4 linked regions of the Rhinolophus ferrumequinum genome follow. The protein of the gene in region 3 purifies or fractionates together with the protein of the main gene of each other region. This does not show direct contact. Links are inferred from orthologs where the notes say so. Each region holds a gene or a part of one and is shown on either strand. Other genes may lie near its edges.

Evidence for each region.
Region 1: the proteins of IKBKG (region 3) and MALT1 purify together in Homo sapiens (affinity purification with western blotting; 4 studies listed by BioGRID and IntAct, with this or other methods). This does not show direct contact. The link is inferred for Rhinolophus ferrumequinum from reciprocal best matches to the Homo sapiens genes IKBKG and MALT1.
Region 2: the proteins of IKBKG (region 3) and NFKBIB purify together in Homo sapiens (affinity purification with western blotting; 5 studies listed by BioGRID and IntAct, with this or other methods). This does not show direct contact. The link is inferred for Rhinolophus ferrumequinum from reciprocal best matches to the Homo sapiens genes IKBKG and NFKBIB.
Region 4: the proteins of IKBKG (region 3) and CNTN2 purify together in Homo sapiens (affinity purification with western blotting, with the first as the bait; 3 studies listed by BioGRID). This does not show direct contact. The link is inferred for Rhinolophus ferrumequinum from reciprocal best matches to the Homo sapiens genes IKBKG and CNTN2.

What each region holds. Positions count from the first base shown.
Region 1 is NC_046302.1:47,376,657-47,383,848, forward strand, and holds the start of MALT1 (mucosa-associated lymphoid tissue lymphoma translocation protein 1), read left to right. Parts: upstream 1-4,179; 5' UTR 4,180-4,400; coding exon 4,401-4,675; intron 4,676-7,192. UniProt on the Homo sapiens protein: Protease that enhances BCL10-induced activation: acts via formation of CBM complexes that channel adaptive and innate immune signaling downstream of CARD domain-containing proteins (CARD9, CARD11 and CARD14) to activate NF-kappa-B and MAP kinase p38 pathways which stimulate expression of genes encoding pro-inflammatory cytokines and chemokines.
Region 2 is NC_046298.1:38,185,653-38,193,246, forward strand, and holds the start of NFKBIB (NF-kappa-B inhibitor beta), read left to right. Parts: upstream 1-4,580; 5' UTR 4,581-4,669; coding exon 4,670-4,848; intron 4,849-7,594. Other genes in the region: SIRT2 (NAD-dependent protein deacetylase sirtuin-2), read right to left, coding at 1-44, 298-346, 4,209-4,334. UniProt on the Homo sapiens protein: Inhibits NF-kappa-B by complexing with and trapping it in the cytoplasm.
Region 3 is NC_046284.1:6,116,185-6,123,758, reverse strand, and holds the start of IKBKG (NF-kappa-B essential modulator), read left to right. Parts: upstream 1-4,563; 5' UTR 4,564-4,967; exon of another isoform or gene 4,968-5,068; intron 5,069-7,574. Other genes in the region: G6PD (glucose-6-phosphate 1-dehydrogenase), read right to left, coding at 3,332-3,459, 4,283-4,382. UniProt on the Homo sapiens protein: Regulatory subunit of the IKK core complex which phosphorylates inhibitors of NF-kappa-B thus leading to the dissociation of the inhibitor/NF-kappa-B complex and ultimately the degradation of the inhibitor.
Region 4 is NC_046305.1:26,100,213-26,108,212, reverse strand, and holds the start of CNTN2 (contactin-2), read left to right. Parts: upstream 1-4,991; 5' UTR 4,992-5,068; coding exon 5,069-5,303; intron 5,304-6,519; exon of another isoform or gene 6,520-6,736; intron 6,737-8,000. UniProt on the Homo sapiens protein: In conjunction with another transmembrane protein, CNTNAP2, contributes to the organization of axonal domains at nodes of Ranvier by maintaining voltage-gated potassium channels at the juxtaparanodal region. May be involved in cell adhesion.

The sequences.
Region 1 (7,192 bases), on a different chromosome or scaffold from region 3:
GTTGTGGAGCAACAGAAATTCTCATTGTTGGTGGGAATGCAAAAGGGTACAGCCACTTTGGGAAACAGTTTGGCAGTTTCTTATAAAACTAAATATACTCTTACCATGCAATCCAGCAATTTTGCTCCTTGGTATTTACCCAAAGGAGTTGAAAACATGCCCACACAAAAACCTGCACATGGATGTTTATAGCACCTTTACTCACAGTTGTCAAAATTCATAAGCAACCAAGATGTCCGTCAATAGATGATGGATAAATAAACTGTGGTACATCCAGACAATGGGATATTATTCCATGCTAAAAAGAAATGAGCTATCAAGTCATGAAAAGACATGGAATAACCTTAAATGTTTACTACTAAGTGAAAGAAGCCAATCAGAAAAGGCTGTATGATTCCAACTGTATGACATTGTGAAAAAGACAAAAATATGGAGACAGTAAAAACACCATTGGTTGCAAAGGGTTGGGAGGGTGGAAGGATGAATAGAAGGGGCACAGAGAATTTTTAGGGCAGTAAAGATACTATGTATGATACCATAATGCGGATACATTGCCATTCAATATATATTTGTCTAAACCCATAGAAAGCACACCACCACAAGGGAACTATGTAAACTGTGGCCTTTGGGTGATTAACTATGGCCTTTGGGTGATTAAGATGTATCAATGTAGGTTCATTCATTGTAACAAATATACCATCTGGTGGGGGACGCTAAAAGAAGAGGCTATGAGGGCAGAAGGTATATGGAAAATCTCTGTACCTTCCCCTAATTTTGCTGTGAACCTAAAACTGCTCTTAAAAAAAAAAAAAAAAAAAGGAGCCTTAACAAAAACAAAAAATTTAAAACCATCCTTTAACAGTATTTGGCATAGAACTTGGCACAAGGTAGACATGCAATAAATATTTGTTGATGATTGAATTAATTAATTAATTGATTAATGGATTTAAACAAGTACATAAGTTCTTGCCACGGATGATTCATTGTGAAGGAAGGATGTGAAATACTAGTGTGATGCTTAGGTACTATTCCAAAGATGAAATCAAAATGGGAAAGTCCCCCTAATCCTTTGGGAGATGCCAGCAAGAAGGGGCTGTAAGGGATGTGGAGATCCTGTGTCTGAGAGAGGACGGAGACGCCTCCACACACAGGCTGTGTCAGAGGCCATGAAGGCTGCTGGTGTGGAATCATGGTAGGAAATAAGCAACGCCATTTAAATCAAGACTCCTGTTTCCTTTCCCTCTGCTGTAGACAGAGCCCAAGACCTGCAGGTTTTCTCCTGCACTGGGCCATTGAAAACCTATCCAGGGGCCGGCCTGGTGGCTCAGACGGTTGGAGCTCCGTGCTCTTAACTCCGAAGGCTGCTGGTTCTATTCCCATATGGGCCCTTAGGCTCTCAACCACAAGGTTGCCGGTTCAATTCCTCGAGTCCCACAAGGGATGGTGGGCTCTGCCCCCTGCAACTAAGATTAACATGGCACCTTAAGCTGAACTGCCTCCTGGATGGCTTAGTTGGTTGGAGCGTGGGGCTCTCAACCACAAGGTTGCCAGTTCGATTCCTCAAGTCCCTCAAGGGATGGTGGGCGCCCCTTGCAACTAGCAACGGCAACTGGACCTGGAGCTGAGCTGCACCCTCCACAACTAAGATTGAAAGGACAACAGCTTGATTGAAAAAAGTCCTGGAAGTACACACTGTTCCCCAATAAAGTCCTGCTCCCCTTCTCCAATAAAATCTTAAAAAAAAAAAAAAAAAACCTATCCAGATATAAAATAATATGTCACTCTGGCATTTTTAGTTAGAGTACTATCTATAGAGAGATTGGGTGAAGGGAAAAAAATCTATGAGTCAGTTTCAAGGCTTGTGTTTTGAAGATTACATCAATGGATTTCCATAGAATGAAACCACAGCTTCCTGCCAATTGTCTGGATTCACAAAGATCTATGTCACTTTTAAATAATGAGGAAGAACTCCCAAGTATATTATCTATAGACATGCATGAACATTTTTTTTTTTTTAAGGAGGGCGCAGCTCACAGTGGCCCATGCAGGGATTGAAGCGGCAACCTTGGTGTTATCAGCACCACACTCTAACCACCTGAGCTAACCGGCTATCCCCTTGACATGCATGAACTTTTAAGGGGCATTTAAAAGCCAGCTCTCCACTCTGTTTTTCTCCCATCTTTATATAAATGGTTGATATATAGAAAAGGAAGCTATATTGCTGTTTATTATATATGTGTGTGTAATTTAAGTCTCACAACAATCCTTTGAAGCAGGTACTATTATATCTTCCGCTTTTTACAGATGTGGAAATTGAAGCTGAGAGGTTAAATAACTTACTTAAAGTCATACCACTAATAAGTGGCTGCATCAATATTCAAATTCTGGGCAAATTCTAAAGATCACATTCTTGCTACCATACTATTATGCCCCATAGAGAACCACAGAAGTGAAATTGCATAATAAAAATATTAACATTTGGTTGGGAGGGGAAAAAGACTAGTCATAAAAGGTAATGTCAGCCGAAGGTAGAGGCTGGAGTGCGGTGAATGCATAGGTTATAAAATTGCTAGGTGGAAAAAAGGATCTGGCCTAGAATGAGATAAGAAAGGCGCTTGTCTTAGGTGTCTTGGAGTCGATAGGAGAAGCAAGGGAGGAGGTGGGACGCCCCTGATCAAATTGGGAAGGATACTCACAGGGTACATAGGTACCCACTTTAACCCGTAGGCACATACGAGAAGCTATATCAGCAACACCTTGCATATGGTAGACTTAGAAAAAGGAAGTCTGTTGAATCTCAATTTTAAAAGACTAGAAACTAGACTCATAAACTAGACCAATAAAGACTGGAAGACTTGATTTCCATAATTGGTCCATGTAGTTAATAGACTCAAAATATTTGTTCAATGATTGAGGACAAAACAGAAAGGCACTGGAAGTGACTGGGAAAAATTTACCAAGGCAAACAGTATGAAAGAAGCTTTTGCATTTGCAAGGATAATAGCTATCGGTTATTATTCACTATGTATGAGCCAAGCAGAATACGTGCTTAATATACATCAACTCCTTTAAATCTGGTAACCACTCTATATATACTATATTTTCAGTCCCATTTTAACAGATGAGACAGAGAATTAAGTCACTTATTCAAGGTCATAAAACTAGAATCGAGCAGCTTTTTCTGGACCCAAAGGTTCTGCAGTTCGCCATTATACTGCATTCTGAACTCCGAATTTACACTGTACACCAATGGCTTGTACTAGAATGTGGTGGAGACTGTATGGGGCATCTACCTCCCCAAAAGTAGAAAATTTGGGTGTCCAAATTATTGCTACCAAAAATCCTGCTGTCCTGTGGGATGAAAAAGCTGATGCACGAGAAATTGGGCCAGGAAGCCTTGTGTCTGGGTAATACCTGGCTGGTCACACTTTGTTAAATTGCTTGCTTTTGTCCCAAACGACCCTATAGTTTTCAATGGGACAACGACCTTGAATATTGCTAAGCTTGGGAAAACGAGCTTAGGTGACGTCTGCATTTATCTCATCTATTCTGGACCCTTCCAGGGGAGGATATTCTCTCTAAGGTTGCCTGCTTTGATTTATGAAGATTGTGGGTGGCAGTCTGACTTGGAGGAAACCAGGCGATTCCTGCTAAAAACAATCACTTCCAACATCTCATTCGTTTTAAATAGGCCACAGCCTAGCTAACAAAAAAAAAAAAAAAAGGCATAAATTTCGGGCAACTTCCATTAAGTATCCGGATGCCTGGCATCACTTCTCTTCACAACGCACACACACCAATCCCTGAAACCAGGAAGCCTCCGCTGAGGTTGCCCAATGCGGGCGCTGGTGGCGTCGCCCTGCACACTGAGTCAGCGGAGCGCGCCCCGGGAGCAAGCGGCCAGGAACTGGAGAGCTGCGTGCTCCCGTGTTTGGCGTGAGGCAATCCTCCTCCCACGGTCTCGGGAAGCCCCGACGCCACAGGCTTCCTCGCCGTAGTGGAGCCGCCTCGGCGTAGTTCCTCCGCGGCTTCCTCCTACAGCGGCAACCACCCAACCCTTCCTGCTCCGCCAGGACTCCACCTCCCCAGGTTTGAAGCGCGCGCCTCACGGAGCGCGGAGCCGGCAGAGAGGGCCAGGGAGGCGCGCGGCTTGTGCGCACGCGCGCAGTGGGCGGCCCCGCCCCCGCCTCCAGGCCCCGCCTCCTCGGGGCGGCTGGGGCGGCTGGCGCGGCCGGTCTGCCCGGCTCCTCTTTGCAAACCTGTCTCCCGCGGGGCGGGGAGCGGAGCTTCCTCATCCGAGTGCGGTGCAGCGCCGCCGAATTAGTCCTTCCGCCCCCGCCGCCGCGGTGCCCAGGCGAGCGAGGGGGCGAGCGGAAGGTGCGCTGGAGCCGAGACCCGCGATGTGGCCCGCGGGAGCAGCGGCAGTGGCGGGGTCGCCGGCGCGGGACATGTCGCGGTGCGTGGATCTGCTGCAGGCCCTGGCGCCCCTGGCCTCGCAGCCGCCTCCGGCCGCACCCTCGGGGCCGCCGCTCCCAGCTCCGGCCAGCGCGACCCTCAACCGCCTTCCGGAGCCGCTGCTGCGGAGGCTCAGCGGGGTCTTGGACCGAGCGCCCGAGGGCCGCGGTTGGAGGAGGCTGGCGGAGTTGGCCGGGAGTCGGGGGCGCCTCCGGCTGAGGTGAGGCGCCGGGGGGGTGGGGGGGGGGGCGGTGCTCAGGGGTGGGGTCACGTGGGGTGGACTTGGGCTCGGGGCGCGAGGGCAGTGTGGGGGGGCACCCTGGTGGGAGGGTGGACCCTGATGCTGGAGAGCATCGGGGCCATGCGAGACGGTGCAAGGGCCGCTGATGTGGAAGGAGGAAAGGACGTGGGGACAACTCCAGTCATCTTCCAGAAAGAGAGAGCCTTCCCCCAGCAAAGCCCTGGGAATATTGGAGCTTGGATATTGAACCCCGGTGTTCACACCCTTTTCCGACGCTCCCCCCCGGGAGCTGACAGAGAAAAGTCGAGGTTGACCTAGGAGTATATTGAGAGGAGGAAGGCTGTCAGGAGAGCGTTGTGACAGGCAGTGACTCGGAAGGACTTCAAATGCAAACTAGCGGGACACGGGCACAGACCTGGAAGGCCTGAGGAAGGTTAGCGAGAAGTGCATGCAGGTAAAGAGGTAATGGAAGAGTTTGGGGTGCAGGAGTTCATGATGGTTTTTATGTAGGGAGAGGGGGATGGTGGAAAAAACAAACTGAACTCTCCATCTTCCTCCATCAAACCTACTTACCAAGTCCTTTTCACGACTTCGCTATGAACATGTATAAGTAAAACTATTTTCCTGCTACCAGCCTTGGAACCGCTGTGCTAGTGGTTCTTGAACTTTTGGTCCCTGGACTCCTTTAAACTCTTAATTATGAAAACCCCAGAGCGTTTTTAATGTGGGTTCTATGTATTCCATACATATAATATATACTGATATTTCCCATGTTAGAAATTAAAACTAAGAAATTTCTAAAATATTAACTTCTTGAAAAAGAATAACCCATTACATGTTAACAGAAACTACATGTGGAAAAACAAACTTTTCCAAAACAAATAGTTTAGAAAACGCACTGTTTCACATTTTGAAAATCTCTTTAATGTCTTGGCCTAACTACGGAGGGCTGGCTGCGTTTATGTGCCTCTGCATTCAGTGTGTTGCACTCTCACAGATTATGTAATGCCAGACACTCCAATGTACACTCCTGGCAGAGTGAATGAGAAAGATAAATGACATCTTAGTATGAAAAATCATTTTGACCTTCTGGGTCCTGTGAAAGGGTCTCAGGACCTGCATGAGGGTTTCCCAGATCACACTTGAACCATTACTCTATATCATTGGCATGATTTTGGTCTGCCTTTGAACCCTTTAGCAGTTCTTTTAACTTCTCATGTGACTAAGCTTTGTCTTGTACTGTAATTATTCATATACTTCTTTATAAACCTGTTGCGAACAGGAACCATAGCTTAAGAGTGTATCATGCATAGAAGTTATATTACACACTCTATAAATACTTTTGAATTGAGAGGGGAGACATTCACTCAAAGTTATAGTTATTGAGTGCCTATTATTTGCTAGAAGTTCCAGAAGATAAAAAGAAGACAGATATTTAGTTCTTATTCATAAAGGCTAACTCGTAATGAACTGTCATTCTGGAACAGTCACAAATAACATGTTAAGTGCTATGTTGGGTGTGAATGATAGTAACAAATGTTTATCATTTATTAAGCACTTAGAATAGACCAGTGTACTGTTTGCATGGATTATCTACTTGAACCCTCACAACAACCTTCAGTTTCAGAGTTTGGGGTTAAACCAGAATCTGGGAGTATTTGGCCACACAGAGGAGTAACAATAGAGGATGGGATCAAGAAGTTGTAAACTGGCAAAGATGAGCAGACAAATGGTATAATTTTTTTCTGTTCTAGGAAATTGTCCTTTTGGCTACGGAAAGAGAATCCAAAATACTATTATTCTAGGTCCATAGATTTCTGAATTTCTAGACTTACAATAATGTGAAAAGTTGTTTTCTTTGGGGGTCAGACCACCAGATCTGTGATTAGTTAACTGGTGCTATTAACTAGTTCTGTAGTTACTGAAGGCTCTGGCCTTTCCTAAACAGGGAAGGGCCTGGTAGCAAGGGCTCCTATTTGTGATGAGAGAAGAAAGTAAGGCCCTGCCACTGAAGAAGCATGGCTGATGGAATCTAAGAGTAGTGGATACCCCAAGCCTTCAGTGAGGTTTTGTTAAAGGCTGTAGAACTGTGTTAGCTTTCTTTGGGGGAACTAACAGAAAATTCTGAACTCACATTTCTAGTGAAGCTAGTATAGACAGAAGGGCAGTTGCCTACCAAGAAGTGACAAGCAACAGAAGGCGTGCATTTGTGGAATCTGGGAATTCCAGCGTGGGAAGTCTGATAAGAGAGGTGGAGTTTCACCAGTCTGCTAGGATGCTGAGGGTTATAGTTCATAGTAGGTTAGTTGTGGTGAGAAGAGCCGGGGCACCCTGAAGGTTGAAGAATTGGGGGACGTGAAGCTCATATACCTGTTGAAATCGGGATTAAACTGACATAACAAAAGGTTAGCACTGGGAACTTGGGGGCTAGAGAGGGACAAAGGAGGGGGCAAGGAAAGCTGGTGATGCTTATTCTGTTTAAGACAAAAAGTTATT
Region 2 (7,594 bases), on a different chromosome or scaffold from region 3:
GCCCAGGCCCAGCGTCTGGGAGAACAAATTCCGCAGGAAGTCCACTGGCCAAAAAGAAGAGAGGGGGCGGCTGAGTGGGTGTCAGCCGGGGTGCACAGAGGCCCTGAGTGCCCCTGCCCCAGCCCAGGGATCCTCTGCCTTCCCACAACTCAAGGCTCCATGCCTAGCCCAGCCAGGGGCTTCTAGGTGCTGGCACAGAACCATTATTACATACCTTGAATGAGGTGAGGCATGTCACCCAGACCCCTGCCCTACACGGCCCCCCACCAGAACCGGCCTCCCAAGGAAGATACTCACTCTCCGCTTCTCCGCCAGCTGCTCCTCCCTCAGTGTCTGAATCTGAGTCCTGGAAGGGGTGGAGGTGGGGTGGCCAGGCCCAAGAAGTGAGGTTAGGGAGTAGGGGGTGGGGTGACAACCCAGTTTGGGAAAAAGGCCCTGGCTGGGAGGTGGGCCTGAGGAAGTGCAGGGCAATGGAGGAACAGCTCTGGGGGGCAGTGTGGGGGCTCTGGGACAGGCTGCCTGTGCAGGGGACCTGGCCTGTCACTCCCAAGGAGCATAATCTCATGCGAGTGATTTCATTTTTCTGAGTCTCCGGGGCGCCTCCTCTTGGAGATGGAGCTCAGAGGGTTCCCCTCAGGAGACTGTTGTGAGATGAAATGAGTTACTGTGTGAGGTGCTCAGGACAGCACCCCGCGGGGTAAGAGCTCAGGAAGCGTTAGCTGTTGCTATTTCATATGCCACGTCCCTATCCTCCCCCTGTATCTCTCCTTGTCCCCTGTAGTGTAGGCTGCTGCCCCTTCGCAGCACCCCGCAGCCCTCCTCACCAAAGGCACTTCATAATCATGGAATAATGCCGGTGAAAACACCTCGGTCCTCACCCTGCGTCTGGAAGCCCCAGATAGCCTTTGCAACCTCTCCATCTCCTTTATCAGCTCTGCGCATTGGCCAGGCTCCCAAATTGCAGGTCTTGGAACTCTGTCTAGGGCTCTCCCTGCTTTGTCTCTCCACCTTCCCTGGGCGAGCTGCCTCATCCATGTCAGTGATGATGCCACCTCTCTGTCCCCTGATGCAGGGTTCCCATGGCCTCCTGGAGGCTTTCCCCTAAGGGGTTTCAGGCCCCTCACTCCCACTATGTCCCAACCTGGCCTCAGCATCTCCCCCAAGCTTGCTCCTCCACCTGGGCCCCATCCAGTGTGGCCTCCCACCTCCTTCCCCTGCCCTCCCACCATATTTGTCCCCTCCCCAGGGCTCTACCTGGTCCAGTCTGTCCTCTCCCCACAGAGGCCCTTGTCCCAGCCTCCTCCCTAGGCTGCCAGCCTTAGTCTCCACCTGCAATCTACTCCATGACCCTCCGCATGATGGCCTGTCTGGGACGGCCCACTCCCCTCCACGGTCCAGGCCCTTCTCTTTGGTGTCTCCAATCTAATCACATGATCACGGACATCTACAGGGTCCACCATGAGGTCAGCTCCACGAATGCAGGTGTTTTTCGTGTTCGCCACTGAATGTCCAGCACCAAGAATAGGGTCTGACACCTGGCAGGAGCTCCAGAAGTATCCACCACTGAATGAATGGATACCTGCTGTACACTAGGCTAGGGCTGGGCCCTGCAATGGATCCCGTGTAAACGCAATTCTCACCCACTCACTCTCCTGCTTAAAACTCCTCCAACAGCTCCTCTCCCTCATCACACACTATCTGGTTCCAAGTCTTTTTGAATCGGAACCTCCCTCCCAAACATTGAAAATTTTTTATCGCTCTTTAGATTGTATAAGCTTTGTAAAATGTCTGACTATTAGACAATGTACAACTTGGGGCACCTGCCTCATAATTCCCACTGCCAGTACCCCGTTGAGATAACCACTATTAACAGTACAATGGTAATTACTTCAGATTGTTTCTCTGCATGTAAAACTCAGTATTTTTCCAGAAAGGGGTCATACCATAGCACAATGCAGCACCGTGCATCTTCTGCAGAACAAGATATTATAGACCCACCTCATTCTTTTAAGCAGCTGCTTAGTGGTGCATTGTAAGGAGGCCCCATAGTTCATTTCACCCATCTATGGACAGCCACTTGGGCGGTTTCCAGTTTTGCCCCATATGGACAATGCTGCAATTTACATCCTCAAGTCTCTCTCGTTGGGACTGAGGATCCTTTTTAACATTAAACCTTTTCTCTGACAGTGGTCCTGCTTTGGGAGCCAGGCAAGGGAGAAGCCCTGGCCTGAAAGGAAGCTCTTATACCCTCTGCTGTGAATCTATCTGTGAGGTGCTTTAACCACAGCTTCTGCACTGCCTACATCTGAACTGCGATCTCGCGGCTGTGGGGGGCTGGCATTCTTTCAGGCCACAGACAGTGAGGCTCTGTGGATAGACTCAAGGGCCCTGCCCAACACACGGGAGCAACTCGGCCTAAGCGGGAGCTGGAGGTACTGGCAGGGCCTTCAGGCCTCTGTCTGGCAGCCTGTCTACCCCTCTCCGAAGCATCTGGAAAGCAGTGTGCTGGGTGCTGTGAGTTGTAAGCCTTTCTCTGCTCTTCTAGCCAAGGGACAGAGGACAGGATACTTAAGAACTCTGCCTCAAATTCCTCATCGATAAAATGACCACAATAGGACTTGACCCCCACAGGGATGCTGGGAAGATGAAATGAGATGATGCCCATAAAGTACCAAGCAGAGTACCCGGCTGAAGTTAAGTACTCAATAAATGCTAACCATGCATATAATTAGCTGACCACCCCAGCCAGTGCCTACTGCACACATCACATTCTTCCATGCTCCCAGGTCTTTGCACGAGCTGTACCCTCTGCATGGGACACCATTTCTCACTTTGCCTAAGAAAATTCGAAGTTGCTCTGCACATACTACGATGTGTCTCTACTTCAATCTGACCCCTAGACCAGCCTGTAGATTCCTCCAGGGGAGGGACTGGCGGGAATCTCTGGGCTCCCACAGTGCCCTGAGCTACCTACACAATCACCCCATAGGGTCATTTTCTAGTCACTTGTCCATGAGATCTGTGAGTTCAGGGACTAAATTGGATGTCTGACTCCTCCAGGACCAGCATAAATAAGGTTCAGAAGGGAGAGGGCGGGCAAGGAAAGAGGAAAGTTCAGGAGGGCAGGCCTGGGGCTGAGGCTGCACCCCCTTCTCTGACAGTCCCCTGAATCCACAATTCCTCAGGAGGCTGAACTGGGAGGTGGGGCAAGGGGTTGGGGTAGTGAGCTGAGGGCCCTGGGGTAACTCTCCCCTCTGTCCCCTCCCCCCAGGGGAGTGGGATGTGGGAACAAGTGCATCTCTCTCCTTCCCTCCACCCTTCCCTCATCTCACCTGAGCCTCCTGCACCTTCCCTGCCTGGGTCTCCAGAGGGTCAGAGGCTGGGGGAGGAGGGGGAGCACATGTGGTTATAGTGGAGGGAATCGTTAAGGGGTTACGAAGGGCTTCAAAGCAGGGGTTGGGGCCGGGCAAGAAGACCCACCAACCTAGTTATACTGCGGTAGAGGGTAATGGTAAAAATGGAGTAAAAGGAAGAAGGGGATGGGGAAAAGCAGAGTGGAGAGTGCCGGGAAGAGAGGTGGTTAGTGAGGGGCAAAGGAGCTGGGACAGGAAGGATTAGGAGAGGAAGGAGAAAGTAAAGGATATATGGTATAGAGGAAACCTTAGGAGGAGTTAGGAAGGACATAGTAATAGTATGTGAGCGTGTTTGCAGGGAGGGTTAGGTTTACAAGCAGAGATAAGTTTAGAAAGAAAGAGAGAAGAGATACTCCGACTGGAGGTGGATGTGGGAGACGAGGTGCGCTGGGGATGGTATGTTTAAGAGAGGCACAGGAACTAGAGGGAAGAGATAGGAAGGGACACCAGGGGTCCCCTAGCATTCTACAGTACCCCCTAACAATCGGGTACCCTTAGCAACCGGGACCGCGGCAACCTAAGTCCTTAGCAACGAGGGTCTTTGGCAACCCAGGTGCGAGAAACATGCGATCGTTAGTAACTTGGGAGACATGGCAAACGAACCCTTAAAACCTCGAGACCCAGAAACCCACAAACCTAGCAATATGGATCACTTAGGAACGGCCCCCCGAACCCCACTCCTCCCCAGGCAGCCCCAATTTCCTGCCCACCACGCCCGCCCTCGGGTCCCGGGGCCTGCAGCCCTCAGCCAGGCCCCGGCTAGGCCCGACCCTCCCACCGAAGCCCCCGACTCACGGTCCGGCTCGGCCATGGGCGCGGGGCGGGGGCCCTCGGGGCTGTCACCGACTGCTCGGTCCCGTGACGGCACCGGAAACAGGAGGAGCAGAGATAGGGTAGAGAACTACAACTCCCAGAAGTCATCGAGGACGCATACACGCTTTCTCACAACCTCGGCGCGCGCCCCTCTTAGGTAAAGCTACAGGCGAGCCGGACTACGAGTCCCGAAATGCCCAGCGCCGGCAGCCATGTTGGTAAAGGGCGCCCGGAAAATATGAGAACGGGTCGAGAGAGTACATCTGAATACTCTGATTGGTCACGGTGTGGTATGGGGCGGGGCTAGAGCTATTTAGCCCACTCTGATTGGATGAGCCAGGGGGGAGTGTTGGGGAATTCCCCGCAGGGCGGAAGCGCCAGTGCTCCAGGGAGAGCCCAGAGACAGGCGGGCGGCCGCGGGGGCCCCTGAGGCTTCGGGGGCCATGGCCGGGGTCGCGTGCTTGGGGAAAGCTGCGGATGCCGACGAATGGTGCGACAGCGGTTTGGGCTCTCTGGGTCCCGACGCAGCGGCCCCGGGAGGACCAGGACTGGGTCCGGAGCTGGGCCCGGGGCTGTCGTGGGCACCCCTAGTCTTCGGCTACGTCACTGAGGATGGGGACACGTGAGTGAAACTTAGGCTGCCAAACCGGGCTCTAGGATACGACATCTGATTTCCTATTAGTCTCTATCTCGGCTTCCCAACCTCTCCTAAATCTGACTTCTGATGCTTGACTTATTGATCTGTATGTAACCCACAGGTCCTAACCTTTAAAAACACCAATCTACTATCCAATTTTGATCCCAACGCAATAATTTCTGACCTCCTTTCTTGAACTCTGGATCTCAGAGTTCCACATTCCTATCCATTGATCCCAAAACTCTATTTGGTTTTCCTGACCCCAGTTCTGAGACCTTTATTAGAACTGTAGCTCAAGCAATCTCCTTCTGACCTTTAACCTCTCCAAATATGGTCTTTGATCCTTAGCTCCTGATTTAGGAGCGTTAGACCTTGATTTCCAAAATTAATACTTGGTCTTTGACTTTAAGATCCCATCTTCTGTGCACTAATCTTTACATCTCATATTCAAAGAGAAAATGTAAGCTCCATGGTAACAGGGATTCATCTGTTAAACAAATATTTGTGGAACACTACCATATTCCAAGCCCTGTTTCAGGTGCTGGTGATAAGACGGTGAACAGACAAAAATTTACACCTTATGCCCTGTAGAGTGTACATTTGGGGGAGAGGGGTATATAGACAGAAAGACTGACAGAAAGATAGGAGGAAGGAAGGAAGGCAGGGATGGAGGGGAAAAAAGAAAAGAAGGAAAAAAGGGAGAGAGAAGGCAGGAAAGAGGGGGAGAAAATAGAAAAAGAAAGAACAAAGAAAAGGCAGGAATAAAAAGAAAGTAAAGAAAAAGACACAAAATAAGAAGGAAGACAGGAAGAAACAAAGAAAACCAGAAAAAGAAAAAAGAAAGACAGGAAAAGGTAGGCCAGAAGATAGTAAGTTCTTTGGAGAAAAATCAAGCAGGAAAACGAGACAACCAGATTACTGGGGAAACCACTCTGGGTAAAAGAACAATGTTGGAAAGGCCCAAGTGAGGGATTGTACCTGGGGTTTTTGTGTGTTGTTTTCTGCTGTATCCCCAGTGACTGAACAGTGCCTGACCCATAGGTGGCACTCAATAAACATTGATCTCAAAGAACCCACTTGGCTTCATTAATTCTCTAAGTCTCTCTCTCTCTCTCTCTTTCTCTCTCTCTCTCTCTCTTATTGATCTCTGTTCTGACTTCCATTATTTTCTTTCTTCTGCTTACTTTGGGTTTAATTCTTCTTTTGCTAATGTCTTAATGTGGAAGCTGAGGTCATTGATTTGAGACCTTTCTTCTTTTCTATTATAGGTGTTGTGTGCTATAAATTTCCCCGCGTATTGCTTTAGCGGTGTTTCACAAATTCAGACATGTTGTGTTTTTATTTTCATTCAATTCAGCATACTTTATACTTTCTCTTCTGATTTCTTCTTTGGCCAGTGGATTTTTTAGAAGTATGTTAGTTTCCAGATATTTGGAAGACTTCCCAGATACTTTTCTTTGATTGATTTTTAATTTAATTCCATTGTGGACCTAGAACATAACTTTGTATGACTTGAAAGTTTTTACATTTATTAAGAGTTGTTTACTGGTCCAAAATATTGTGTGTGCACTTGAAAAGAATGTATATTCTGATGTTGTTGGGTGTAGTGTTCTCTAGCTGTCAATTAGAGGTCATGTTGATTTATAGTGTTCCAGTCCCCTATAGCTTTGCTGACGATTGCTGTCTACTCGTTCTATCAATTATTTAGAGACGGGTATTGAAATCTCCAATAAGAATTATGTATTTGTCTATTCCTCCTTGTAGTTTTATCAGGTTTTGCTGCATATTATTTGACACTCCATTATCAGGGGCACAAATGTTTAGAATTATTCTGTCCTCTTGATTCATTGACCTCTTTATCATTATGAAACAGCCTTCTCTATCTCTGGTAATATTACTTGCTCTGAAATCTACTTTGATATTAAAATACTTCCTACTGCTTTCTTTTGACTGATTGGTGTTAACATGATATGATATAGCTTACTCCACCTTTTATTTTTAACCTCTTTTTTAATATTTATATTTAAAGAGTGTTTCTTGTAGGCACATATAGTTGGGTTTTACTTATTTGGTCAATCTGACAATTTCTACCTTTTAATTAGAGTGTTTAGACAATTTGCATTTAATTATTGATATGGTTAGGTTTGAGTTTATCATATTGTTACTGGTTTTCTACTTATCTCTTCTTTGTTTCCCTTTTCTTTTTCTCCCTTCTTTTGGAACAAGTACATGTTGTCCCATTATATTTCTTTTGTTGGCTTGTTAGCTTTAACTTTATGTTTTGTTATTTTAGTGGTTTCTCTGCAAGACAGGGATGGCAAACTCTGGTCTCGAGGCAAAATCCAGCCACTTACCTGCTTTTGTGTAGCTGTGAGTTAGGAATGGTTCTCACATTTTTAAATGGTTGAAAACAAAAAAAAGAAGAATATTTTGTAGCCAGTGAAAATTATATGACATTCCAATTTCAGACTCCATAAATAAAATTCTGTTGGAATATAGCCCCAATCATTCGTTTCCATGTTGCCAGTGGCTGCTTCCACATCACCACAGCAGAACTGAGTAGATAAAAGAGAGAACACATGATCCACAAAGCCTGACATATTTATCTGGCCCTTTACAGAAAATGTTTGCTGACCCCCGCTTTAGAATTTATAGTGTGGGGAGCAGCCGGTTAGTTCAGTTGGTTAGAGTACGAGCTCTTAACAACAAGGTTGCCGGTTCGATTCCCACA
Region 3 (7,574 bases):
TTGACCAAATTGAAGCAATCCACGTGTGGGGACAGGGCAATTACAGGGGCTCCTGGTGAGATGTGGCAATCTTTCCCAGCCCCCTCATTTTGCCCGACGACCACAGTGAGGATGGGGGACACGGTGACTTAGTTGGAGAAGCACGACCTGATTAGGCTCTCCAGCCACCAGGATGTGGCCTGGCTGGGGCAAAGGAACCTGGGCCACCACCCACCTGTGGCTGCCCAGCTTTGTCTTCAGTCTCCAGTGTTATAAGGCCACACCACTGCCGATATCTGTCTTTGAGAATTGTAGGCGTGGCAGAGAGCTCCAGAGGCTGGCTGCCAGCTAGAGGGCCCACAGGGATGGGCCATCCCGTCCCCCTAGGGTCAGTCAGGTCAAGGATCTGCTGGGTCCCCCAGGGTGGAGCCCGGGCTCTGGCTGGAGCCCAGCTGGCTCGTGGCCACTGCAGTGAGAGCGCTGGGGTAGGCGAGGCTATAAAAAAGAGCCTCCCTCCTCCATCGTGGGGTTCATGAATCACCAGGACTTGGGGGGGGTGCCGACATCATCATGACACAGCAAGAATCTTACCGGCCCAAGGGGGAAGACAGCCCAGCAAGATCCTGAGGAGAGGGAGGGGCTGGGGCTGCCAGGTCATTCCTTGCACAGGCCCGTCATTGGGATGGGTTCTGAGCACTCAGTGAGCCCATGGCCCTTGTGGTGCAGGTGGGGAGACTGAGGCCCCTGCAGTGAGCCAGTGCTGCCCAGGCAGAGTCGCAGTCCTATCTCTTTCTCTCACCCCCATTTCTCTCTACATCCCCTGGAGGGAAGCATCACTCCAGTCTGGCCGAGGCCCCATCAGATGGGGGGAGGACATAATGGACCAGGCCCAAGGTTCCTCCCCTTGCGCTGGTCTGTAAGGAGAAACTGGTTGCTTTCATTCCAGAGTTTTCTAGACTGGGACAGTAAGTACCTCCACTCCCTTTCTGCTTGGGGGTGGGAATCCTGAGATGGGGAGAAGTGGCTATATAGTGGGGGGAACAGAGAACAGCAAACAGCCCCAAGCCCATTGGGTAAGTCTGTGAACCAGCATTGTGATGCCCCCAGGAAGGAAGCTGGGTGTTCAGAAGATGGTTGGGTAAGTGAGTGAGGGAGGAAGGGGCAGAGGATGGCCACATGGGCTCAGCCTGTCCCAGGGTGCCCATCAGCCACTGGGCAGTGTCTGCTCTTCCCTTGGTGTAGAGTCCTCCCTGGGCCCTGGCTCTGCAGGCCTTGCTCTGAAGGCCCTCCTCAGGAGATCTGTGTGCTGGGGGGAGGGGGGGCTGGGGACACAAGGGCCCGTTTGTGTCTTCTGTCACATGCGCCACTCTGAAATCTTACTGGGTTGCTAACTCACCTTGGGTCCCAGTCCCCCAGCACACAGGTCCCATGAGGAGGGCAGGGCCTGTGTCACTGCACTGCAGAGGAGGTACTCAATCGCCACTTGATGCCTGAATAAGCAGAGAACTAACTGGTTTCCCAGAGAACCACCGTGCCTACTTTCTACATGGAGGGAGCAGGCATGGGAGGCCTGCTTCTGGGAGCTGTTCTAGGTGCTGCCTGAGCATGGGAGGCCCGCCTACCCCACTCCAGCCCCCTTGAACTGCAGGATGGAGAAACAAACAAGGAGGCTCTTCTTCGGAGGATCCCCTCCCCACAGCCTGTCCTCCTCCACTCCACCGCACTGAAGTGGCACTTCCCACTTCTGCTCTGAAAGCTTCTGTTTGTTGCTCTCAGAGCAGAGGGGAGCAAAGGGGAACCTCACCAATTGCAAGAAAACAAAGTTGCCCAACCCCAAGCTGGCCACAGAGGAAGGCAATGATGAGGAGCTACAGAATCAGCTCGGCAGAGCCCAAGGAAGCCTTGGCATTTGCTTCAAAAGCCCTCATTTGCTACATGGAAACACAGAGGTTCAGAGAAGGGAAGACACTTGCCCCAGGTCACACAGCAAGCTTGGATGATCTCAGTGAGATGTCTAAGAGTTGAGGGTCTGGAATTGTAAGCCATTTATTGTGGCCTGGGACGCTCTATTGGGGCATCCTGTGACTGGAGGGAAGGAAGAGAACTAATCCTGAGTTACTTTCTCCTCCAAACTATTTCTTGGACAAAGGGCCTAATGGTCAGAGTCCTTGGTGTTAAGGTTTGTGGCCAATACAGGTATGGCTCCTCTAAGGGGACCAGGCTGGAGACAAGGTGGACGTCACATCTGCCCCCTGTGTGCTGCTACTGTGTACTCCCCAGCCGTGGACTTACGGGGAGCCAGAGGACAGTGCTTAGTGCAGGCCTTCCCTCCCTCCCACCGGCAGAACCTTTCTCCCCCACTCTGCCTCCCTCCCTGCATTCTGGCTCTCCTTTTCCAAGTTCTAATCAGAATCCCAAAGTTGGCAGGGGGCAGCCTCTGCAAAGGACAGTGGCACGCTGATACGTGAACAAAGAACCAAGGTCCTCCAGAGTGAGGGGAGCATGATGTGGACGGCACAGAGAGACCATGCCTTCCCCGTCAAGAGCTGACTAGTTTGGGTAGAACTCTCCCTCAAGATTATACAGTAAGTTATGGGTAAAAATGGTCCTGCGATGCTTAGCAGATGCTTCGTCACATTCAGGGTTCAACGTGAAAAGAGAAGGCCGCTTTAACTTCGACATGAAGCCCTGGCAACTCATCTCACCAGGCCCTGCACACATCTTGCCGCCTGGCAGAGATCTCATTTCCACATGGTACACCGGGAGGGGGCCTTAGTGTAGGGGCCATGGCCTTTCCTATCAGAGCAAAATGGCAGTGCCACTGGCTAGACAATGGGGCAGGTCACAGCTCCTCAGCAGGCCTTGGAAGTTGGGGCAAAGAGACAGTGTTCAAAGAAAGGTTGAGTGTTTGTCCCCAGGGAACTTGACGTGGTAGAGAGACAAGGTGGAGATTGGGCCTCAGATCCTGCCTCTGGAACTAATTGACTGTGTGACATTTGTCAAGTCACAAACAAGTTTGAGAAAGATACACACAGAATGAATAGCCTCCCTTGTTTGCATCTCAGTTTTCCCCATGGAGGAAGCAATCCAATCAGACAGTCCCTAAGGACCTTCCAGCTCCAGGACATGGGTCTACATTCAACGGCTCTGCAGGTTTCAGAAATGCCTCACAGTGTGTGTATACCAGGTGTGCTGGGTGATAATGGCACACGAGCAGGAGTAAGAAGGAGAGTCTAACTGAGCTGAGCCTGTGTGGCCCCACGGCAACCAGTTGGGAAAGCTCAGGTACCCAGCAGGAAGAGACCTTAAGCAACTTCACACTTTTAAGATGTGGGGCCTGGGGGAGACTCACCGATGCACCCATGATGATGAAGATATGTGTATCGGACTGATGGAAGGCATCACCCTGGTACAGCTCTTCCCGCAGGATCCCGCACACTTGGGTCCGGCTCAGGGCCACCTGCTCTGCCATGATGCTCTCTGGTGAAAGAAAGACTTGTTGACAAGGCACGAGAACAGAAGAGCTCTGAGAAGATGGCCCCTTTCTTCAGGGGTCTTTCGGGCTCTCACTCAGCTGAAGTCTGATTATTCGAAACCACTGGCTGAGAATGGGGGGAGGTAGGATGGTTGGGGGGTTAGAAGCTGCTGGCTCTGAGCTCCGGCCATACTCCCCAGGAAGCCTTCTTTCACAGTGTACATTACAAAATTACTCAAAGCACTAGTGGATTCCAACGAGAGTCTCAATTCTGAGGAACTGGGTAAAAAAACCCCTGCTGGAGCATCGCACGATGCTAGTTTCATCTCAGCCTGGAATCAGGCGGAAACCCCACAACAAGCTGGAGCATGTTAGACCCTGCAGCTCCAGTCCTCCTCCTACCAAGCTGGGAGATCATGGCAAGTCCCTGCCCCTCTCACGATCTCAGTCTCCTCAGGGGTCCACTGGAAAGCGTTAAGACTCTCTGATTTTACCCGGCTCCCCAGCATGGCAAATCGAAAGGCCTCGCGGCGCAGCACACCCCAACACCGGTGTGGCGCCCGCCCACTTCGTTACCTGAGCTTCCTGTCCGCCTCTGCCAGTTGGTCTCTCAGCCCCGGAGTTCCCGGACGTTTCCGGGGGCTGCGACCCGCGGGTCCATTTAACCAGCGGGGGCGGGCGCCTGAGCTGAGCTGACCGCCTCAGGCGAGGCGCGCGGGCGGGGCCTCCATGGGCCCCTCCCTCGCGGGGGGCAGGGCAGGTGCGCGCGCATCTTAGCCTCCCCTCCCGCGGAGTCCCCTCCCTTGGCCCGCCCCATCCCTTGGGCACCTGGGCCGGCCGCTGCCTGCTGTGCCCATCGCCGCTGTGTCGCGTCCCCGATGCCTCGCGAGTCCGCGAGCAGCTCTGCGCCGTTCGCCCACGTCTCCATAGCCAGCCCTACCCCGCCCCTACACTCTGATTTTGCCCCTCCGCCCCCGGCGGCCCGGCGCCCTCGCGGAGGGCTCACTTCCGCCGGCAGTGTGGCCACGCCTCCTCGACCCCCATTTATGGGCGGGGCCGTCTTCACCCCGCCCCCTCCCGGACCGGTCAAACCTGTCCTGCGAGGTAGCCTCTTCGTGGCTCCTCCCCTAGCAGGGGCGGGGCGGCCGAGCGCCCGGAGGCTGGGTGCCACCGCTCAAGAGACAAGGGGGAGTGTGGGTTTGACGCCCCGGAAAGTAGCGGGTGGGGAACATCACTGGGGAGCGTCCTGCGGGCCGGCCGAGGGTGGCGGGCTCAGGCTTCCCTTTGGAACAGCTTCCCTCACATCTATTCCCGGCCTCTTTGGAGGGGCGGGGCTTGCGTGTTTTACTTCCGGATCCCACAGTTACGACACCGGAAGCCGGAAGTGGGAATTTCGTGGGGGAGAAGGGAAGAGCGACCGCGGAACCGGGACTTTCTCGGAGCGACGGGGCCCGAGGAGCGCTCGCGGCCCGCTGCTCCCGCCCTTCTTACGTCGGACTGATTCTGCTGAAAGGTGTGGTCCTCTTCCCCGAAGACAGGGTACCATCGGTGGGCGTTCCGCCGCCTCCTAGATTTCCCCCGGACGTCTAGGCTTCCCTCTCCTGTTGGGCCCAGGTCCGTTTCTGCCACCCGCTTCTAGAGTACTGGCCCAGGCGGGCCGATGCAGGACCCAGGTTGCCTTGGAGGCGAGCGGGACTGTTTCCGCTTGTCCCTCCTCCGCTGCCGCGGAGTCTGACCACACCCATAGTTCGTGGATGACTCTTGTAGTTCGGAGACATTTTCTGTTCAAACTTGCTTGTGTGTGAGGTGGTTAAATTCTTTAAAAAGACCTCAAATAGAGTTGGCAGCTAAGTGTCTTATCTCATGTGCCTCCGTTTGTTCACTTTTCAAAAACGATTCATGTCAGCCCGACCTCATACCGTTTGTGTGACTTGAGGATAAAAGGGCCATCATGGCATGTTGGAAGAAGAGCAAGGAGGCCATTATAGCTGGAGCAGAGTGAGTGAGGTACTTGGAGAGGAAGCAGTAAGGGATCAGATAGTGCAGGGTCTTGTAGGCCATTGTAGGGACTTTGGCTTTTACACAGAGGGTAATGAGGAACCATGCATGGTAGAGATCTGATTAGAGGAGGGACATGATTGGAATTACCTTTTAGGCGGATTGTTCTGACCGAGGTGGGGAGAACAGACTGTATGGGGCAAGGGTAGGAACAGGGGTGACCTGTTAGGAGGTTGTTGCAGTAATCCAAGTGAGAGACAATGGTGCTATGAGCATTTTATTATGAAAAATTACAAAGACGTACAAAAGTAGGAAGAAGAGTGTAGTAAATCCCATGTGCCCACCTCCCAGCTTCAACAATTATCAACTTGTGGCCAATTTTGTTTAATTTATACCTTTTACAATCCTCTCCCATTACTCTTTTTAATGACAGCTTTATTGAGATATAATTCACATACCACACAGTTCACCCATTTAAAGTGTACAGTTCACTGGTTTTTAATATATTTAGAGTTGTACAACCATACCCACTAATTCCAGAACATTTTTATCACTCCAAAAAGAAACCCTGCACCCTCTAGCTGTCACCCCATCACCCCATCTCCCCCGCCTCTAAGCATCCACTAATCTTTCTGTCTCTGTGTATTTGCCTATTCTGGACCTTTCATATAAATGGAATCATACAATATGTGGTCTTTTGTGAGTTGTTTCTTTTTCTTAGCATAATGTTTGCAAGATTCATCCATTTTGTAACATGTCTAGATTTTGATTATTCATCAGTTGATGGACATTTGGGTTGTTTCCATTCTTTGGCTGTCATGAGTAATGTTGCTGTGAGCATTCATGTATGGACATGTGTTTTCATTTCTTTTGGGTATATACCTAGGAATTTCCCCATTACTTTGAAGTGGATTTCAGACACCATGCGTAAATATTTCAGTATGCATCTCTAAGAAAGGACTGAAAAAAAAAAAAAAACAACCACAATACCATATCCCACCTAAAATAGTTAACATTAATTGCTTAGTGTCATCAGATCGATTCTGGGATATATTTTGGTAGAATTTCCTGATGGATCAGATGTGAGCTGTGAGAGACAGGAGTCAAGATGGACTCCATGGTATTTGTCCTGATAACGAGAGGATGGATTTGCCATCAGCTGACACGAAAGAAGGCTGCGGGACCTGGCTTTTGGGAACTGTCGGGAACAGTTTTAGAGAGATTAGTTTTGAGAGGACTCCTAGATTCCAAGTGGAGATGTTGAGTTTGATATGTGAGTGTGGCGTTGAGGAAAGAGGTCTAATTTGGGGCATCATTGACATTAAGGTGGGGGGTTAAAGCCATGAGGCTGGATGCTTAGTACTGGTGGGACTGGACAGAGAAGAGAAGAGATCCTAGAACAGAGCCCCGGGGCATCACAGTGTGAAGGGCTGGGTTACCAAAGAGGATTCAGTGCATGGCACCGAGCACAAGCAGCCAGTGAGGTCGGAGGAAAACTAGGAGAGGGCTGTCCTGGGAGCTGAGGGAGGAATCCGTGGTTGGTCAGATGCTGCTGATGAGTTAGTGGTGTGTTCAGTGTGGTAGTCAAATGTCCAAGTTTATCTGTTGTGAAAGCCTCCCTCAGCTCAGGCCTCAAAACTTGTATTGAGAGTGGCCTCCTCCGCCAGGTAGTCAGTCTTCTTGGGCAGGATTGAAAAGGGCTCCAGGCTGGTACTGTCCCTCACGGCCCGCCTCTCCTCTGGTTCACAAGAGAATGGGGACAGCTCAGCCTGTGTCTCTGCCCCACTGTCTTAGGCTGTCAGCCCAGCTCCCACTTGCCGATTCTAAAGCAAAAAGTCAGATACTGGATTTCCCTTTTGTCCCCTCAGTTCCAGGGAACATTCATCAGGGTCTGAGTGGTCTCCTCGAAATCCTTCTTAGTAGGTGCATTAATTTTCTGGGGCTGCTGCAAGAGATTTATTCTTTCCCAGTGCTGGAGGCTGGAAGTCTGAAGTCAAGTGTGGGCAGGGCCGTGCTCTCTCCAGAGGCTGTAGGGGAGGGTCCTTCCTGCCTCTTGCAGCTTCTGGTGGCCCCAAGTGTCCTTTGGCCTGTCGCCACTCCAGTCTCTGTCTCCACCTTCGTA
Region 4 (8,000 bases), on a different chromosome or scaffold from region 3:
TTGGCCCTGGCAAATTGTAGTGGGGGAATATAGGTAAAGATAGCAAAATCGGCACAAGAAGGCTGAGTCATTAGAGAGAGGTCTGTGCACTCACATGGGCTGATTGAATCTGCTTCCAAGAGGTTATACATCAGACAGGCAGGGAAAAGAGGGGTCTGGCCTGAGGCTCAGACAGGCCAAGGATTTCCAGTGCCTTCACCTGCCCCTTCCTGCTCCCATGTTTCGTGGCTGCCCACCAGCCACTCTGGGCAGGCTTAGTAAGAACACTCAGGCTATTGCTCTGTTGCCCAGCCCACATCCAGGGACGTTTTTGTCTTGCCAGGACCAAAAGATGCCACTACCAGGGATGTTCTTCTCAGAGCCAGATGCCCTGTTGGAATCGAAGGCATCTGGATCTGAGAAGGGAACGCAAGCATCCAACCCTAATCTCAGCTCTCCCTTCACCGCTCTGTGACCTTGGCCCAATCATTTGAACTTCCTGGGCTTTGGTTTTCCTAGGACTCAACTTCTCTCCACAGCCCCTGACCCTCACTCTCCCACCTCCCACACTGGCCACAGTGTTTTATAAAAAAAGAACTCAGGGTTCTTTGAGCTCTTTGGAGTGACCACAAAAATGCAAGGCATTATTAGCATCATTACTATTAAATATTAATAATGACATTAGCATTGTCTATTATAAGCCTGAAAAAGAAGCTCCAAGAGCCCTGGGTGGAAATGGCTAAGAGAATAATTAGGCCCCTCCAAGCCACCGACCCCTCCAGGCCCTCAGGTGAAATTAGGAAGGCAAATGCAGACAGAATACTGAGATGTCTCTCCCAGCACCCCCTGCTCAGTTCAACTTGGCTCCTCCTGGCCCCACACAAATCGTGCTCTTTCCAGTTCCCTACACCCCATGCCAGGACTGCATTCTCACCTCCACTCTGTCTGTCCAGCTCCAGTTCAAGGCGTGCCCCCCAACCCTGACTGAAACCTCACCCACCTCCTAGTGCCTTCTCTCCCCGTCATCTGAACTGTTACAGCAGTATTCTCCTCCATCTATTCACTCAGTCAACAAATATTTATTGAGTCTCTATTACGTGCTCAAGGCATTGTGCTAAGCAGTGCGGGGGCTTAAGGGGGCTGGGAAAATAGAGACATTAATGAGATAATCCTTACCTTCGGACACTGCACAGGGAATAACCATCAGTATTTTATTTGACACTTGGCTAAGTGCTTAAACCATCCTAAGTAGGAGTAGGATTATTCCCACTTTACTGATGAGGAAATGGATTCCCCCGTCAGTTAAGTATACTTTAGTGACCTACCCAATGTCATCCAGCTTGGAGTGACAGAGCTGAGACAGAGTCCAGTTCTCTTAACCACAAATCTGGGGCCACCGATTTGCAGCAGAGAAAGCCTGGCAGCAGGGCTCAGCCTCATAGTGTGTTTCAGATGGGGAGGCTGAATCCCAAAAAGTCCCAAAGGGAAGTACTGACGTTTATTGAGCACCTACTATGTGCTTGGCACTGTGCTAAATACTTCATGCATAGTTCAATGCTCACATCCATCAGTGACGTTTGTGTCTTAACCTGCATTTTCCAGATGAGGAACCTGAGGCTTTGATGAGGTAAGTGGCTTGCCCAGGGACACACAGCTCATAAGTAGCAAGACTGTGCACCAAGCAGGTCTGAGTTCAGAGCTTTGCCCAACCGGCTTTGTCACTCTTCCCTGAAGCTGCAGATGGACAGTCCTAGTAACGTTATCAGGCTGCTTCCAGAAAGATTACAGGTACTTTGAAGACAGACCACACCCTATAGCTCTTGAATCCCCTGATATTTTAGGTAGATGTTGCTCCATGACATCTGGTCATGGTCTCCTGGGAGCCATGGTCTCCTGGGACACATATGGTCTCCTGGGAGCTCTAGGAAAGGGGCTAAAGTCTGATGCCAAAGCCAAAGATGCTGGTGGATGGAGAGGGCAGGAAAGGAGGTATGAGGCTACAACTGATGCGGAAGATCCACATGGTCAGAGCCCTGGGGCCCTGGCAGGTCTCAGCTCCTCCCCACTGGCCCCTGGGGCCGGGCCCCATTTGGGGATCCACTGGACTCCTTTGCTGTTGATCTGGTGGGGCTGCCGGAGGAAGGAGCAGAGAGTCTCGGAAAGGTTGGGTGGCCCTCAAGATGCCTTCCGGGGGCTCCCGCTCCTGGGTCACCTCACGTTTCCAAGCAGGTTAATGGCCCATTTGATTAGCCACCTGATCATCTTGACTAGCCCTTCTCTGCCCTTCTTGGGAGACTGGGGGACTCCACTTGGGGATGAGGTGCCCCTCTCTAGAAGACAGGGAGATATATTGATTAGCCACGGAGAGCAGAGGTGCCTCTTATAGTCAACTGTCCTGAGGATTCTGGGATCTGGCAGGCACCAAAACAGAGGACACCATCCTGTCCTCTATTGTGCCCAGCTCAGACGAGCAGGCAGCAAATGCCTGAAGCACACAGCATCATGGTTAAACCATGGATGCTGGAGCCAGACCCGAGGTCTCTGCTTCTCCACTTGTTTACTGTTTACTGTGAGCAAGTTCCTTAATCTCTCTGAGCATGTCTGTAAAATGAGAAAAATAGCATCACATATCCCTTGGGTGGATAATTTAGGTAAAGCACTTAATACAGCTCCTGACACACTGGAGATATTAAGTTATTATTAATAGTTTATTCACAATTAATAATGAAATTATAAAATATTTTGGTTATTTTCAAACTCATGGACACCACAAGCAAAACTCAGCCCGGAGCCCCAAACACCCACCCCACTCTCTTGTCAGAAGCAGGAGCACCTTAGAGGCTGGCAGTGATGGATGATCCCCAAGAACCCCCAAAATTCATCTGTATCAGGCTCAGGTGAGAACTGCAGACAGGTGAGAAGATGAAACTTTAGCAAATGGCTCCCCAAATCCAAGACTAGGCCTAGTAAGCGCTCTCATTTTCACTTCCTGTGGCTGCTGGAGCCCACCTGGGGCAGGCAACCGGCTTGCAGTGGGATCTGAGAGACTCCTTGAGATCCACGTCACCTGCACTCATGGGGAGGGAACTGGGGCCTCGCCAAGGACCCAGCCCCCACCACGAGGGCAGCAGCTGTCTGAAAACAGTCACAAAGACAGCTGTCTCCATCTAAAGCAGGGGTGTCAAAACTGCGGCCCGCAATCCATTGTTAATTGGTCCCAGCAAATTCCAAAAATGTATTTAGTTTACTTAAATAAACCAGGTGAGGCAATACGTACTTCACCTCGAGTGAGTGGCCCGGCTGTTTGTGTATTTTACCGCGTATGGCCCTTGGTGAAACACGTTGAAAAATGTTTGGACACCCCTGCTCTAAATCAATCCGTGCATTTCCAGAGCCTTGGCCCCTGAGTCAGCCAATCCCCTGACCAGTCGCCTGATGGCAGCAGACATGCCACCCGGTCTCCCGGTAGCCGTTTTCTGCTTGGAGAGAACTCGAAGCCCTCTTTGCAGAGCCTGGGCTGACCTGGGTGGTGTCAGAGGGCACGGCTCACCTCAGGAGCTCAGGGCCCACGTGCCAGCCCCACAGGAAGACAGACAGAAAAGGACATTGTGGGCAGAGGAGGCAGGAAATGGAAGGTACGTAGAAGGGATTTGCACAGAGGCGTGCCAAGTCGTCCAAGACACGGTGGCACAATCAGATGTCTCTCCATCTGAAACAAAGCAGACTGTCTCCAGAGTTGGGAAAGCCCTTCAAGAGGGGAGTGGCAGGATGGGAGAGGAGGACATATCGGACTTGGGCAGGCATTCTGGGCCTTGGAGGCTGGGCAGCGAAACCTCCCTCACACCACATCTCCTTCTCCTTTTCCAGGCCCTCCCACTCGGGCCAGGATTGTCCCAAAACCTTGTGCCCTGCTCCACTCAGGATGACACATTGCAGTGCTCCAGGCTTGACAGGTACAGCCATTTAAAACTCTGAGGCTCGCCTGGCCCTGCCAGCTGTTTCAGCATCTGGACCGCTCACTGGTCTTGCCTGTGTGAGCTGGACAGCAGGTGGCCCAGAGGGGGATGAGACAACAGTGACAGCCTGATGGGGCTGACTGCTGCCGCAGATGGCTGGTCCCTCTACCTCCAGGCCCCAGCCTTTCTGGTCACAGCCCTCTCCCCATGACAGGAGAGATATTGCCAACCTGGGTGAGCATCTAGAATCTCAGAGCTGGCAGGCAACTGGCCATCATTAACCCCTTCGGTTTCCACGTGAGGCTCAGACAGGACAGGGTACGTAGCCTGGCACACAGCCCCTCAGTAGCACAGCCCAGCTTACTCTTCAGACATTCAGACCCCTAATCAAGTGAGCTTTTCGCGAATCACACTGCTGGTTGATTAAAAACAGGATTGGATCCATAAGTACTGATGTGGAAAGGTGTCCAAGATCTATTATAGTTAAGAAATATTCTGCAAATCATGATTTGTGATCCACTTTCATAAAACAATACTAATAAGCCATGTAATTATATACATGAAAATAATAAACCTGGAGGCATGTAACTCAAATTTGTTAAGGGACTTTCACTATTTTTAAATTTCCTCTAGTTTTACAAAGAGCTGTGTTACTTTTATAAGGAAGGGAAACAATAAAGTGAACATGTGGGGGTGGGCCAAGGAAGGAGCCCCTCCCACAACAAGCTGGGGATTTCTGATTTGCATCCCGCCCTCCAATAGGAGATTTCTGGGGAAACAATGAGTTTGGCTTCATGGGTCTCCAGGGTTTGAAGAGCAAGAGCCACTTTCTTTTCCCTGTGCACCGCACCCCTTTGCAGCCCCTTGAGCTCTGGGCTGGGCGGGGATGGGGGAGTGGGCAGGCCAGACAGCGCACCCCGAGAGCTGAGCTGCCCATGCTGCTCATGCATTACGGTGCCCTGGCTTGCTCCCTAGTCCTTATATGACAGCAAATGAGGTAAAGCCGGGAGGGTGGGGACGAGAAAAGGAGTGGGAGGGGGGCAGAAGGAAGCCATCTCCAGGGCCCCTTAGCGTTGGCTGAGGACCGTAGCCAGCCAGTGAGCGGAGCCTGGGAGAGGGAGGAGCACATCTTGATGCAGAGATGCTGCAGTGGCTCTGGGCGCACACACACACACAAGCGCCCTCACCCGCTGCCGCCACCACCGCCACCGCCACCGCAGCTGCCGCCACCACACCAGGACAGCAGCGAGCAGCTGAGGGAGCAGGGAGGAAAGGAGGCCGGCCCAGGGGGCTGGCAGCTTGCTGGCTCCTGCTCACCACCTCGGGCAGCGCCTGCCTGCCCCAGCCCACATCCTTCTTTCACCCCAGGTAGGTGCCAACCGCTTTTGTTTCCTCCCTTCCAGTGGCTCCCCAGGGCGCTGTTATGAAAAGGGGCTCAGAGCTCAGTGTCCTTGCAACTTGGGAGGGGCTGAGGCAGGGCGGGAACCTGGCTGGGTCCAGTCTGACTTCTCACCCCAGTCTGGTGGTGGCTGCTGGGAGTGGAGGTCCCCTCCGCCCTGTCTATGTGGGTGGCATCCTGCAGGGCCCTGGCAGGCCAAGCCTGGCCAGGAAACTGGCCCCCAGCAGTGTGTCCAGGAATTCAAGCCACCACCAGCTGACAGCAGCAACTGCCTGCAGAGAGGGCAGCGCTAGGGACCCTGCCCTGGGCCCCCAGTCCAGGACCAGAAAGTCCCTGAGGCCAGGCCCTGAGCCCTGGCCTGCCCATAAATGTCCCTGAATGGAATTGAGTCTGACTGCCCCGACTCGACTTGAGGTTGCCCTGCGTCTGCCTCTGCAGGGTGACCTCTTTGCAAAGTCTCGCTGCAGTTTCACAGAGGAGGCAGTGGAGCAAGTTTGGGCAAAGACATGTATAGGAGTGGGGACTCAGGAAGGAGAAACTGAGGCAAGTCACCTCCCTAAGCGAGAGCGGCTGGGACTATAGGGGCTGAAATTCCTTTTTTTCCCTTCCCTCCTCCCCAACCCTATCTTCTCCTCAAATCCCTGCCCCTCATCCTCACCGGCAAGAGAGAAAGATTTGCATGAAGTTTGGCTTTCCCGTAAGGAAAGGGGCTGGAACTAGAGAGGGGGAAGGGCACAGTTTAGGAGGTCTAGAAAAACAGGGCCAACCGTCTCCCCAGCACCATGCAGACCAGAGGTGGGGGAAGCAGCTCCAGCCAGAGCTGAATCCCACTGCCTTCTCCAGGAGGGCTTCAAGGTCTGGGAAGCAAAAAAGGGGGGTGAGATGAGACAGAGCCTGTGGAAGGAGAATCCTGGAGCTACACGGTACAAAGCCAGGGGTGCTTCAGCCACAGACCACTGAGGGCCAAGCCTGTGCCCAGGGAGGAAAAGCTGTCAGTCAAGGTTGTTTGGAGGGTTGAGAATCCAGACAGACCAGGATGGGATGGGCTGTGAGTTCATGGCCACAGCCCTGGAGAAGGACGGGTTTTCCAGGAGCTAAGTTACCTGCCCTTAACTTCCCCGACTCCGTGTCCAGCCTGCAACTGGTCAGACCCTACCACACTTTCCTTTCTGCTTGACTCCCCAGGGCCCCCAAACACCCTTCCCAGACCAGCCAGCATCCTTCTTCTGCTCTGAGGGAGGCGGCAGCAGGAATAGCCCAATACCCCAGTCTGTCAGTACCCTCGTGACCTCCTGGGAAGCGGTCTGATTCTTCTCCTACCCCTCAGTCCACTTAGCCACGCGGCCTCTCAGTTACACTCAGAGGGACCAGATGAGCCACTGAGGATCCAGGGCAGCAAAGGGTGAGGCCCCTGTGGGAGAGGGGTGTGACCTGGGCTCCTGGGGGGCGGGGCGCAGGGAGATGGAGCCCTGACTCCTGGCCTGGAAAGACAGAGTTCTGCCCTTAGAGACAGCAGCATCTAATCCCTCCCCAGGTTGCCACACCAGTTAACTCTTTCTAGCCAGGCTGCAGAAACATTCAAGCCAGGTTTTTGCCACAAGGTCAAAGTTCTTCCTATTTTCCTGTAGGATCTATCAGGAGTCCCCAGTCAGCAAAAGGGAGGCAGGAGGTGAGACAGATGGGGAGGGGGTCTCTGAGCCCATGACATCAATGTCACCAAGGTCCACCTGTCTTTCTGGTGCTCAGCATGACTCTCAGCATGCACTTTCTCTGTGACTCTCTCTCATTCTCGTTCATCCTCTACTCCCCACCTGGCCAAGCTCTCTCTCCCCTCACACTTTCTTGCCTGGTCAAATGTACTGCACCTTCAGCCCTCAACCTACCCCCACACCATTCCCGCTGCCAGATTTCACTTCTTATGTAACTCCATTCCAGCACCTTGTCTGTCAGCAGCTGTTCAAATAGAGACACATGTGGGATGGGCCTCTGCGGATGGTGTTCAATGGGATGGCTGCACATATTGCCTTTGATGGACCAAACGTTTTCCTCAGGAGCGAGTGCACGGGACAGGCTGCCCTCAAAGCGGCTTCTCTGAGGCCACAGGGGAGCAGCTCGTCTGGGGTGGTTTGCAGGGTGCACGTCTTCCATCCCTGTCCCAGAGCATCCTCAGACCAAATGTTTGCGAGAACGTTCATCTCAAAGACAACCTACGCCTGCGTGTGGGTGCTATTTGTATTTTTGAAGGGATTCCTAGGACAAAACTAGGGCGTTAGCAAGAATGGGCTGATACTCAGGGAAAGAAGAACCAGAGCGAAGAATATGCTCTGTGGATTGGAAACTGGAGGGATTGGAATTAGATTGCAGGAGGCATTTCCTCACTAGGAAGATGACCCTGAGGTGAGACAATCTTTCCAGTGACTCTAAAAGGCTGTAGAAAACTGGGGTCAGGTCTAAGGTTAGAAACAGTCCTGCCAAGAGATAGAGGTTGGGCTAGAGGACCCTGTAAATTTCTTCCAGGCTCAGGTTATTCTCTTTCAAATGGTAACAGGTAGGGGTTACTAGGAATATGTAAGAAGACAGACATCCTTTTCATTCCCTCAGGCCTGCTGGCCACCTCTCATCCTTCTGGACAAACTCCCCCTGCCCCCCCCACTCAGGGCTTTGCA